Elephas maximus indicus: one gene and its partners. The protein of the gene in region 3 purifies or fractionates together with the protein of the main gene of each other region. This does not show direct contact. Links are inferred from orthologs where the notes say so. Each region holds a gene or a part of one and is shown on either strand. Other genes may lie near its edges. The genes, in order: AMOT, AMOTL2 and YAP1.

Region 1 (3,744 bases), on a different chromosome or scaffold from region 3:
ATGAAATATGATGTAGTGCCAGAAAGTGTCTGTAAATGAAACCAGATAAACCCATACAGAATAGCTGGAACCTGAGTTATCATCTGTAAATAGATGCAACTACTCTACAACCACCTGGCTATTAAAATGTCCCAGGCCAGTTATAAAGTGCAGTTTGGTCAAGCCAGCTCTTCCCTCCCAGCTGATCTGAAACGTGATAGCCTTTAAAATTGTCACCCTGCAAAGTTCCTTCTCTCCCTGCTTTCCTTTCTCTTATTAAAATCAACCAAAGAAATTATTTTAAAATATAAGGAAATAATATGTTCCCAAATAAGCAACGGGTTGGGGACATTTCGGTAATAGATCTTTGAACACCACCATTTTTATAAGCTTGTCATACTTACCCAATTGGAAATAAGTAGGAGATGGGTGAAGTTGTATCCCATGTCGAAAATGGTATTTCAAACTATTCTTAGTTACTAAATGGGGGTGCTCAAAGGACTAACTGAGAAGGCTTCACAAAGGCTGTCCCAAGAAAGAACTTTTCACAAAGCCTAGTTCAAGGAGTCTTACATACCCTTAGCCCTCCAACATTAAAGAATATGGTGACTAATTATCTTCCTTTCTGAATAGAAGAGGATTAATTAATAAAAATTTTTAAACTGCTTCCAAATTTCCACCCTTCATGGGAGGGGAACTGAACTAAAACACCCTAAAGTGTCTTTGTAAAGTATCTACTAGAGATTGGAAATGCTGTTTCTCACAAACCTTTCCTTTTTTTCTCTCATTTAATTGTGTTTAGTCCCTTGTTGCAAATTATTATAATATTACTAGTGGCAATTTACAGGGGACTGCTCACAGTCTACAAAGACTGTCACTTTCCCTAATTTTCCTTCTCTTTATTTTCAAATATTGATGAAGTCCATCTTGCTGTTGAAGCACCTACGCAGTGGCCTGGGCTTGGGACCCTCACGACACCTGCCTGATCCCGAAAAACTAGTTAACCAACATTATTAAACCTTATAAAGCTGATAAGGGGCTACCGCCCCTACCCACCACCAGCGACACACACATACACCAAAAGGAGCGTAGCGTGATAGATTACTCCCAGAATTTAAGACCTCAAGAATTCAACACCCCCCAGCCGGACTTCACTTGCCGCCCATCCCCCGCCTGGAGGAGTGGAGTGTTAGCCCCCATCCCTACCCTAAGCACAGAGGAGAAACTCATCTAGTCATCTGAAATAAGAGCAGATATTCCTGCTGGGCCAAACGTAAATCTCGGTTTCCCTTGAGTCTTTAGTTTCTTATGTGATTAATTGCCTAGAGACCTACAAGGACCCCAGAAGACAAGGAAGTTAAAGAACCATCAAGTTGTGGTACCCACTAGCATCTCCTTGCCGAAGTAGGACGGAAAAGGAGTGCACACTCTTTAATCGATTTAACTTGCTGCACATGCTGGAAAACTCACGGCCAGCTGCAAAGAAAGTAGAGCGCACGGGCATCTCTACAAGCTTCTAGAGCGAATCACTCACGCCGAGGGCACGACCAAGTTCATGCCACCATTAATTCCTGCCCCAGTTCCCCGTAAAAAGTAACCACACTTCTCCTACCCCTGAAGGCAACGAAGACAGGGTGACGGCTCTCTGCTCGCTCAGGTGGCTTCAGTCCCGGGCCAGCGGCCAGGGATGGGCAGGGGGAAGCCCCAACTCCCGGCTGCTCTCCTCCTCACTGCTCCGTCCGGTCTCTCCTTAGTGGCAGTGGACAGGCAGGATACCGGGCCGGAGGGTGGAGCAGCGGATGATCCGAGGCTAGACAGACTCGAGGTGGGAGGGCGGGGGAAGAGAACTAGGGGAAAAGGAGGCGAGGAAAGCAGGGATGGAGGAGTAATTCAAGGGGTCTACCAGCTTGGACAGCCAGAAAGCTTGGACAGCCAGAAAGCTCCTAGGAAGGAAGGGGCGTGACTGCGATGAAGGCAGCTCCTGGGCAAAGGATGGGAGGTAGGGGAGGGGGACGAATGGGTGGCTTTTCTTCTTGCGGTGAGCGGCTAGGACCGCCCAGGAGAGGAGGGGTTGGCGGTGGACTAGGGTAGGAGGCGGAGTAGAGGGCGGGGAAAGAAGGGCGGGAGCCTGACTGGACCCTAGAGGGGGGAGGTGCGGAAGAGAGGCGGGGCCAGGGGGCGGGGAAGTTTCAAACAATTGAACGGCGGGGTCCAGGAGCTCCCGCGAAAGTGGGGGCCTTCGCTCCCGCCCTACTACGAACGTGGCATGGCTTGGTTCCGGGAGTACCGAAAGTCTACGCAAGGAGTGGTTGGGAGGAAGGAAAGGGTTTCGAAAAGACTACAATAATAATCTACGGCACAAGCGGAGCAGAGTCGCGTGGGAGAGCCAGTGCAGCTCTCCGCCCCACAGCGGGAAGCAGAAAAACAAATAATAGAAAAGCTGAGAAGCAGCTTCTGTCAAAGTCAGCTTCAAATAATGCAGGAAGAAGCAGCGCTCCTTCGTTTTCCTTCCCCTCTTGCTTCCTATTACCAGCAGGCCTCCACCCAGGTCACGGTTCTGCGAGACACCCTCCTTTCTTCCTCCGCTCCCCCTAGCCTTCGACCCCTCCCCCACCAAGCGCCTCCGCCCCTCCTTCTGACGGCAGGGGAAAGGTGGGCGGGGCTTGTGGAGCCTCCGCCTCTTGGGCGGGCTGAGAGAACTGGCCTGGGCGGAGCGGATCCAGAGGAGCAAATCCCACCCACCATTCTTTTGCAGCTTCCCGTTGGCGAATCCTACCTTAGCATTCCTTTCCGATTGGTCAATTGAGCCGTCAATCGCTCCTCTGCCTCACCCGCCCTCAAAATTGATAAAACTAAACAAGAAGCTATTGTCTCTCTTCTCCCCCAGCCACTTCTGGGAAAAGAAAGATGAGAAGCTTGATTTCTCAGTCTCTTTTTTTTTTTTTTTTAAAAAGAGTACGACAGTGTATCCGCAGACTGGGGTACACCTCTACGGCACTGTCTAGCACTTAGAATAGTAACTTTTCTTCCTCCTCAATACACCAGGTAGGGAGGGGTAAAACGTACCTGAAGTATCAATGTGGTGTTCATATTTCCGAGCTACGAAAAATTGCTGTTGCTTAAGAACACTGGGATTTGAGAACACCAGCTACCATTTTACAGCTGGGAAAACTAAAGCACCAAGAAACAGCATAGGGATAGCAGAATAACATGGAATTTGGAACCAAGGGAAGAATTCATTTCGGGCTCTGGCACTTATTAGCTAGTTGTTTGCCTTTGTTAAATCGTTTAATTTCCCTATCTGTAAATAAAGGCTATAAGACATGCCCTATTAACTTCCTGGCATTGGTAAGGAAATAAAATGTGTGTGAAAACTCTGTAAACCACAAAGCACTCCACAAATGTATGTGTTCCTACTGTGTACGACACATGGCAGAGAGTCTCTCATATGAGTTTGGGAATCATATTCTGCTCATCTGTTTTAAGCATTTACATCCAAGGTGTGTAGGTTCTGCGGCTTTCTTTTAAAAAATCAACTTTTTTCCTACAGCTTTAAAGGTGGATATGAAATTGGCTCCCTGCAGTTAGAATAATAAATTGCCCCTTTTCTAACCAGGGTGGGTGAGATTTCTTTTTTAAACAGTTCTGCAGTGGCGCCACGACCTAAATCTATTGTGGTGCTGGTACTGAAAGAGGAAATCATGCTGTGTATCTCTGAAGTGAACTTGAAAAAACAAATATGAGGAACATTTACCATGGAAACCA
Region 2 (3,744 bases), on a different chromosome or scaffold from region 3:
CAGGTGCCAGGATCTCCAGGGAGGCTTGGGGGCTCCCTGTGCCTCCAGCCCCACCCCGCAGGGCCTGCTGCTGGATGGCCAGCAGTGTGCGTGTCTCGGTCAGGTTGCCATAGCGCAGCTGCTCCTGGATGAGGCGGTGCAGGACTGTCCCCGAGGAGTCTTCTAGCGTCCTCATTCTTCCTTGGCTTGCACACACCTGCCTGGAGAATGGCCAGCAGCACCTGGGCCCAGAGCACCTGAGAGGAGAGAGAGAACAATGAGTGGGAGCACGTGGGCAAGGGGAGGACTTTCCATTACAGCCTGGTCCAACCATAATAATATTCACAAAGACTTACTACAACTAGAGGAAGACAACAGCAGCCCAGAAGGTCATCAATCAGCAATCACAGCCCCTGCAGATGAGTGATTCAAGGGCAGGCCCATGGGGACCAGCTCAGATCTAGCCAGATCTACCCCAAAGGAAGCATGCCTGAGCCCTGGCTTCGGCACAGCCAACCCACTACCCTTTACCCCCTGAGCCTACTACCCACCTCCCTTGCTTTCCCCTGAACCAGCGAGCTCCCTGGAGGGCAGACCCTGGGCTCTGTTTAATCAAGGGCTGTTGACAGAATGAACTCAGGGCTCCCTGTCATGGGATGACCTTGGCAGTCACTCTGCTAGTACACAGGAAGAAGAAAATGCATCTAAAGTGGTGGATAAGGGATGAAAGACGGGAGGGTGCAGTAGGACAATGTGTGAGTTGAGGCAAAAAGATCCTACCCATCAAGGTGAGTGGGTTAGCCACATAGTCTCTGTGTGCCGACAGTAACTGCATGGGTACTCCAGGAAAATGAAAGGAGGGGCATGATGCCTTCAGCCCTATGATCACCTCTCCCCGCTTTCCCCCAACCTTGCTATTTGGAAAAGCCCCTGCGGGCCCTCTAGGCATACAGGAGATGGGCACTCAGCATCTTTTGTAACATCAGTAACACCTACTTGAGCCAACTGGAGGAGCGAAGGGGGAAATTGGGAGGCCTTGGGTTGCAGGGACCCCGGGGGTTGTGAGCCCAAAGTGCAGGGAGACGAGTATCCAAAGAAGGTGTTGTTCCCTTCTAAGACTGGGCATCTCACTGGCTCATGCCCTGGAAGGCTGCCCACCTGCCCGGCCTCCTTTCCACAGCCTCCTCTAACACAAACCTTCAAACCAGAATTCAGGCAAAACCAAACAAAACCCACACCTCCACAGGTCTTGGGGGGGCGGGGAGCAGGAGGAATGCAGCCCTCCTCTGGCACAAAGCTAGCCCCAGGGCCCTTCCTCAGTTTGGTCTTGGCATGTGGACAGAACAGCCATTCCCAGTCCACTCTCTCCTCCCCAGGACTCCACCAGCCCCGGGCGGGGGGGTGAGGCAGGAGGGCACCCCGTCCTCAACCTTTCTGGTACCCATTCCGTGTCCCCCCCCGCCCCCCGAGTAGAGATGCAAGACCCCGGGGTTTTCAGCGACGAAAAGAGCAAACAGGCCAATTTGCCCTGGAGTTTCATCATCTTTAGGGCATTTCCTAAGTTAATCACTGTCTGGGCTGTCTCCGGCTGAGGAAGGCGGGGGGTGGGGGTGGGGGGGCGGCAGAATCCTCCTCCCGACGGATTCCAGGCCCCCAACACTATGCTAGAGAGCAGAGCACACTCCTGGGGCTTCTCATCCTTGAGTTTACGCCTGTCAGGCCGCCGGCTGCACATCCTTTCCCATACCAAAGGGCTGAGCCCTTACTAAAATCTGCGCCCCCAACCCCAGCCTCTGCTGCGCTAGCGCTCCCTGCTCTCTAAACTCACCCACCCAGCCACCCCTTTTCTAAGCAGGAACGCATCTCTGGCCTTAGCCTGGGCTCACGCTCGCCCTACCCCTATTCCCAACTGACCATAAGCACTCGGTGGCCACCGGTGCGCCAGGAGGAAGCGGGCGAGCGCAGCTCAAGGCCTGAAGAGGTCTTTAAGCGTCCGGGGTTCGCCTCTCCCCCTTCCAAGCCCTCTTTGTTTTCCGAATACTCTAGCGCTGACGTCACCGGGCTGGACTGCAGGCTGCATTCTTTCTACGTGAGAGCCGGTTAGTGGCTCCAGAGAGGATTTTCCAAGGAAGACAAAGACGAATTCTTGGGCTAGCTGGGGGCAAAGACACCTGTAACCCCCCTACCTAACCAAACCAACCCCCAAGGCCCTGCAACCTGAACTCGAAGCGGCGACTCCAGCCCTGTTCCGCGCCACGATGCCCGAACGGAGACCCAAAACACCGACCCTGATCTCCCTAGAGGCTGCACCCTCCCCAAGCGCAGGGGACCGGCGCAATTCGAGATACCCGGGCGCAAGGCGCGTTGTCACCTGGGCGGAAAGGCCCTTTCCCGGCTTTGCCGCCGCCTCGAAAGTGCGCACTGCGCCTTGAGGACGCTCAACCGGCGGGGCTCCGGCTCCCGGAAAACGCCGGGTTGCGCCAAGGCTCGGCCTTCGGCTGGGTCGCGTCTTTGCTGGCCTTGCGCGCTCCCCGGAGCGCCAAGCGGCCTTCCTTACCCTTGAGGCCCGTGGGTGCCCCGCGCAGTCGGAACCGACGGCCCGGCCTGGCTCTGCTCGACTCAGCTCGGCGGCGGAGGTGTGCACCCAGCAGTGGCGCCGACGCTCTGGCTGCTCTGGCCTCAACGCGCAGCCCCAGGGTCGGCCCGCGCCGGAGGCGGCTGCTATGCCAGGAATGTGAGCGTTTCAGGTTCCCCCTCGGGATCAAAGAGAACCACAAATAACCTCGCAGCCCGCCGCCCTCCTCCGCCCTTCGCCTCCTCCCGTTCGCTCCTCTCGGCCCCCGCCTTCCTCCGGGGAGGCGGTCCTGCGGGCTGGGCGTCCGGCGGCAGCTGAGCTCCCCGCCTGGGCAGCCCAGGGGCCTCGTGGCTGCCCTTTTCCGTCGAAGCTGCTGGGGCCGATTTTTCTCCCAGTTCTGGACCCCGTACCGCCCCCGTTCTCCCCTTCTTCTCATTCCTTCACCCCTAAACCCTTTGGCAGAACAATACGGAGGGACTCCCGCCTCCCGGCATTGCTGCAGGAGGGGACGACAGCGCAGCTTGTGTGTGTGAAGCAGCAGGGAGGCCTAGATCGGCCTGGCCTGGACCATACCCCAGGCGAAGAAATGACTTTGCTTTCTGCGACTGAGCCTGGTCCCTAACCCCCACTGCTTTCACGCCCAGCGGCAACCTTTGAATTGCACTTTTATTGTTTACAGACACCTTCAACAGCTCTTTTAGGACCCGTATTTTTTGGATCCACAGGAAATGTCAGTCTGGGTTGAAAAATCTTGTGGTTAATTTGACCCACCTAACCAACTGAATTGGAAACCCTGGTGGCATAGTAGTTAGGTGCTATGGCTGCTAACCAAAAGGTCAGCAGTTCAACTCCACCATGCGCTCCTTGAAAACTATGAGGCTGTACTTCTCTGTCCTATAGGGTCGCTATGAGTTGGAATCGACGGCAATGGGTTTTGATTTTAACGAACTGAATGGGGCCCTGGTGGTGCAGTGGTTAAGTGTTTGGTTGGTAACCAAAAGACCGGCAGTTCGAATCCACCAGCAGCTCCTTGGAAACCCTATGGGGCCGTTCTACTTGGTCCTGTAGGGTCAGTATGAGTCGGAATCAAGTCGGAAACAATGGATTTTGTTTGTTTGTTTTGGTAACCAACTGAGTGGAGCTCTGCTGGCCTGGTGGTTAAGAGCTTGGCAGGTAACCAAAATGTCGGC
Region 3 (3,744 bases):
TCCACATAAACCAAAAAGAATTACAACTGGAAAGTGTACTTATTCTTCTAGTAAGTAATTACACAAGAATTTATATCCAGCAGTTTGTGGATAGGACAGCCTCCCGTTCTTGCCCATATGAAAATAGAAAATTCTAACTTTTTGATAAAACCCTAACCAATGGGTTAAAAAAAAATTATACTCAATTTTGAACAGTATGAATTTGTGTTGTAAATACTATTGTTCATAAACTCTTGAATGTAAATTCTTAGGTTTATGTCATATATCCAAACCGAACCCACTGCCATCAAGTCAATTCTGACTCATATCAACCCTATAGGACGGAGAACTGCCCCACAGGGTTTTCAAGGCTGTAGTCTTTGTGGATTAATCTTGATGGATTACAGCCCTGGAAACCCTATGGGGCAGTTCTCCTCTACAGGTTCGCTATGAGTCAGAATTGACTCCACAGCAGTGGGTTTGGTTTGGTTATATGATATAAACCTAAGAATTTACATCTAACAGTTTATGAACAGTAGTATTTACAACACAAATTCATACTATTCAAAATATAGTGTTTTTTTTTTAATCCATTGATTAGAATTAGAGTTTGATTATCAGAAGGTTAGAATTTCCTACATTCATATGGGCAAGGAAGGGAGACTGCCCACCAACTGCTGGATATAAATTCTTGTGTAATTACTTATTAGAAGAATAAGTTCACTTTTCAGTTGCAATTCTTTTTGGTTTATAGATGCCACAAAATGGGGAATTCAATCTCCTGTGTGCATTATACTTATAGTAAGTAAATAGCACCGTAGTTTGTACTCTGTAGGGTGCATGCCTACACACTTTATCCATAACGAGCCCAGAAGCTCACCTGCAGGGTTAAAGAAAAAAGCATACCTAAGTCTACCTCTTACAAATTGTTTAGGCAAGCAGCTAAACTGTTTTTTTCTATCACGTCCTTAACCCGGGTTTTTGACAGTAAGCTTTTCTGAGTTCCAAAATTCCTTCGGTTTGCCCACAAGAATATACTACAGGCCTGCAAATATGAGGAGGAATGGGAGTGGGTGGGGGGGGGGAACCTCTTCTTTCCACTCAAGTTACAGCCCGAGTGGACAAACTACGATGCAGTATTTGGAAAACCAATTAGCTTTTGGCCAAAGTTCCTATGCTGAAGTTTAGCCATAGCAACTTCTTCAAAAAAAAAAAAAGGGGGGGGGGCGACACCTACAAAAGCCTTCAGTAAAAAAAAATATATATATATACCTACCGGGACCTACTGGAATGTTAAAACTTTCCTAATAAATAGTTCCACTTCAATATTAAAACAAGTTGACAAAATAGTCGAACGTTGTGTTTGCGGAAAAGCAGCCATGTTCATATCCTCAATAAGAATTAAAAAGCAATGGCGATCCTAGAATTAGTCATCGCTTCCCAAACATTAACTTTTAATCAGAGTTGAACCAGGCAGGACTTGGCCTATGAGTCAACCTGCAGGGTATTATCAAAGGCTGTGTGTTAAAACCTCGGTACTGTAAAGCTCAACTCAGGTCCTGCGCAACGTGCAGATGTGGCTAATTTAAAAGCATTTCAGCAGACTGTAAATAATAGCCTAAAATTGGGAAACCAACACATGAATCTACCGAGTTTGATAAGAGTGAGCCTGCCTGAGTTCCAAGCGCAAGGGAAGTGCAGGAGTGAAAGAACGAACTCCATAAACAACTTCCAGGAAAGTCTGGGCAGGGGAAGCCCGGATCCTGTATTCCGAATGGGCCGGGGCAGCGAGGAAAATAAATGCTTTCGGTCGGGGGAGGGGGAGAAAGAGCAAGAAAACGAACAGCACTAGTTCCACCCCCACCCCCTAATCAACACTGGAAAACAAGAGAACAATTATTTGACTCCCCAGGAGACTGAAGAGGACCGAGAGGCCCCGAAGGAAAAGGGGCCCAGGGCTCAACTTCACAAACTCGGCCGCCGCTGGCAACTCACCCACTCGGATGCCAGAGGCCCCCCTCCCCCTCCCCGGGCCGCGGCTGGAGCGAAGGTGCGGAGCGCGCGGAGACGCGCGCATTGTGCAAGCCCACCGCGGCCCGGGCGGGCTCTCCCCACCCCCTTCCTTCCTCCCCACCTCCCCCTTCACTCCCGCCAACCTCCTGGGAACCCCGGGAAGAAAGAAAGAAAGGAAGAAGGGCAGAGCGCACCCCCTGGGGCTGCAACCGCAGAAACTCCAAAGGGAAAAACAAATCTCGGCCCCGGACTCCAGGAAGAGTGGGGAGCCGAAAACCGCGGCCGAGCGGGGGCCTCCAGTTCCTCCAACTCACCGGGATAGCCCTACCCCTCGCCAGGGTTCCCGGAATCCCCACCCCGACCTGGGGCCCGCCCGACAGGGAAGGGGTAGGTTACCTGTCGGTTGTGGGATTTGGGCTCCGGCGGCTTAAAGAAGGAGTCCGGCAGCTTCCGGAGCCTCATGGGCACGGTCGGGGGCACGTTGGCCGTCTTGGGGTTCATGACGGCGTTGAAGAGCGCCTCCAGGTCGGTCTCCGAGTCCCCCCGGACGTGCACGATCTGGTGCCCGGCGGGGGGGGCCTGCGGCGCCGCCTGGGATCCCCGGGGCGCCGGCTGCCCGGGCCCGGACGGCGGGTCCTGCCCCTGGGGGGGCTGCGCGGGCGTCTGCCCTTGGCCCTGGGGGGCAGGCTGAGGCGGCGGCTGCTGCCCGGCATCCATGGCTTCTGCCTCTCCCGACGCGCACCCCCTGACCAGGCGGGCGAGGGCTCCGCCCGGGCGGCCCGGCTCGACGGGCCGAGACTAGAGAAGCGGCGAGGGCGGCGGGCCGGGCGGCGCTGGGCGTCGGGAGCGGCGCGCTCCTCGCTCTTAGGGCCGAGGGGCTGCGCCGCGGCCCCGCATCCCCCGCCCCGGCGCCTCCGCCCCCGCCCTGCGCCCGGGCTCCACTGGTCTGGCGGCTGCGCCTCGGGAGGGGCTGAGAGAGACCCGGACCTGCGGCGCCTGAGAACTTTTTTCCCCTTCAACTCCCTTGACTGAAGCCGGACAACTAGTCGCCTTTCCCCTCCCCCTTTCTCTTTTATTTCCTTTTCTTGTTCCTTCCTTCCTCCCTTTCTTTTCCCCGGCGGCGGCTGTGCCCGACTGAGACAGAAACTCGCCTCAGACGCCAAAACTGAAGTTGAGAGAACTGCCCGCCCGAGCCGCTCGCCGGCTCCGCCTCCTCCCAGCTCTTCCTTCCTCTGCGCGCCCGCCCGCACCGAATCCGCGGCCGGCCGCCGAGGGAAACTTTTCCCTGCAAGTTACTACATTCCTGCAAACTCCCAGCTTCCAATGCCTCTCCCAGCCGCACGTGACCAACTCGCCCTCAACCCAGTCCTTCGCCTGTGCTTCAAGGGCAGAGGCTGAGGGGGTGCTTGGACCTCCGCGCCGCGAGGACTGACGGCCGGGCGGATGGGAAACGTTGGGTCCAAACTGGGTCTGAGCTCTCGTCTGTGCAGAGAACGCGGCCGCCCTTGGCCGCAGGAAGTTCTTCCGCCCCGCCCGGTCCCTCCCCGCCGATCCTCGGAAAAAGGCTCGGTCCAGCTCGCCAGGAGATGCGAAATGGCTAAGGCCGAAAGAAGCCTGGAGAGGGTGAAACTCCACTTAAACCCTCCCCGCGTTAGCTCGACTTAAACCAGCAGTAGTGTCAATACGGGGTTAAAGGCGCAAAAATAGGTTGGAGTTAGAATAGGTACCAGTAACAGGCACCGATCTTAACAA

What was found.
Region 1: the proteins of YAP1 (region 3) and AMOT purify together in Homo sapiens (affinity purification with western blotting; 17 studies listed by BioGRID and IntAct, with this or other methods). This does not show direct contact. The link is inferred for Elephas maximus indicus from reciprocal best matches to the Homo sapiens genes YAP1 and AMOT.
Region 2: the proteins of YAP1 (region 3) and AMOTL2 purify together in Homo sapiens (affinity purification with mass spectrometry; 10 studies listed by BioGRID and IntAct, with this or other methods). This does not show direct contact. The link is inferred for Elephas maximus indicus from reciprocal best matches to the Homo sapiens genes YAP1 and AMOTL2.

What each region holds. Positions count from the first base shown.
Region 1 is NC_064846.1:44,576,058-44,579,801, reverse strand, and holds the start of AMOT (angiomotin), read right to left. Parts: upstream 2,308-3,744; 5' UTR 1,592-2,307; intron 1-1,591.
Region 2 is NC_064844.1:45,190,509-45,194,252, reverse strand, and holds the start of AMOTL2 (angiomotin-like protein 2), read right to left. Parts: upstream 2,732-3,744; 5' UTR 2,537-2,731; intron 2,511-2,536; exon of another isoform or gene 1,894-2,510; intron 237-1,893; 5' UTR 176-236; coding exon 1-175. UniProt on the Homo sapiens protein: Regulates the translocation of phosphorylated SRC to peripheral cell-matrix adhesion sites. Required for proper architecture of actin filaments.
Region 3 is NC_064825.1:18,549,556-18,553,299, forward strand, and holds the start of YAP1 (transcriptional coactivator YAP1), read right to left. Parts: upstream 2,803-3,744; 5' UTR 2,710-2,802; coding exon 2,389-2,709; intron 1-2,388. UniProt on the Homo sapiens protein: Transcriptional regulator with dual roles as a coactivator and corepressor. Critical downstream regulatory target in the Hippo signaling pathway, crucial for organ size control and tumor suppression by restricting proliferation and promoting apoptosis.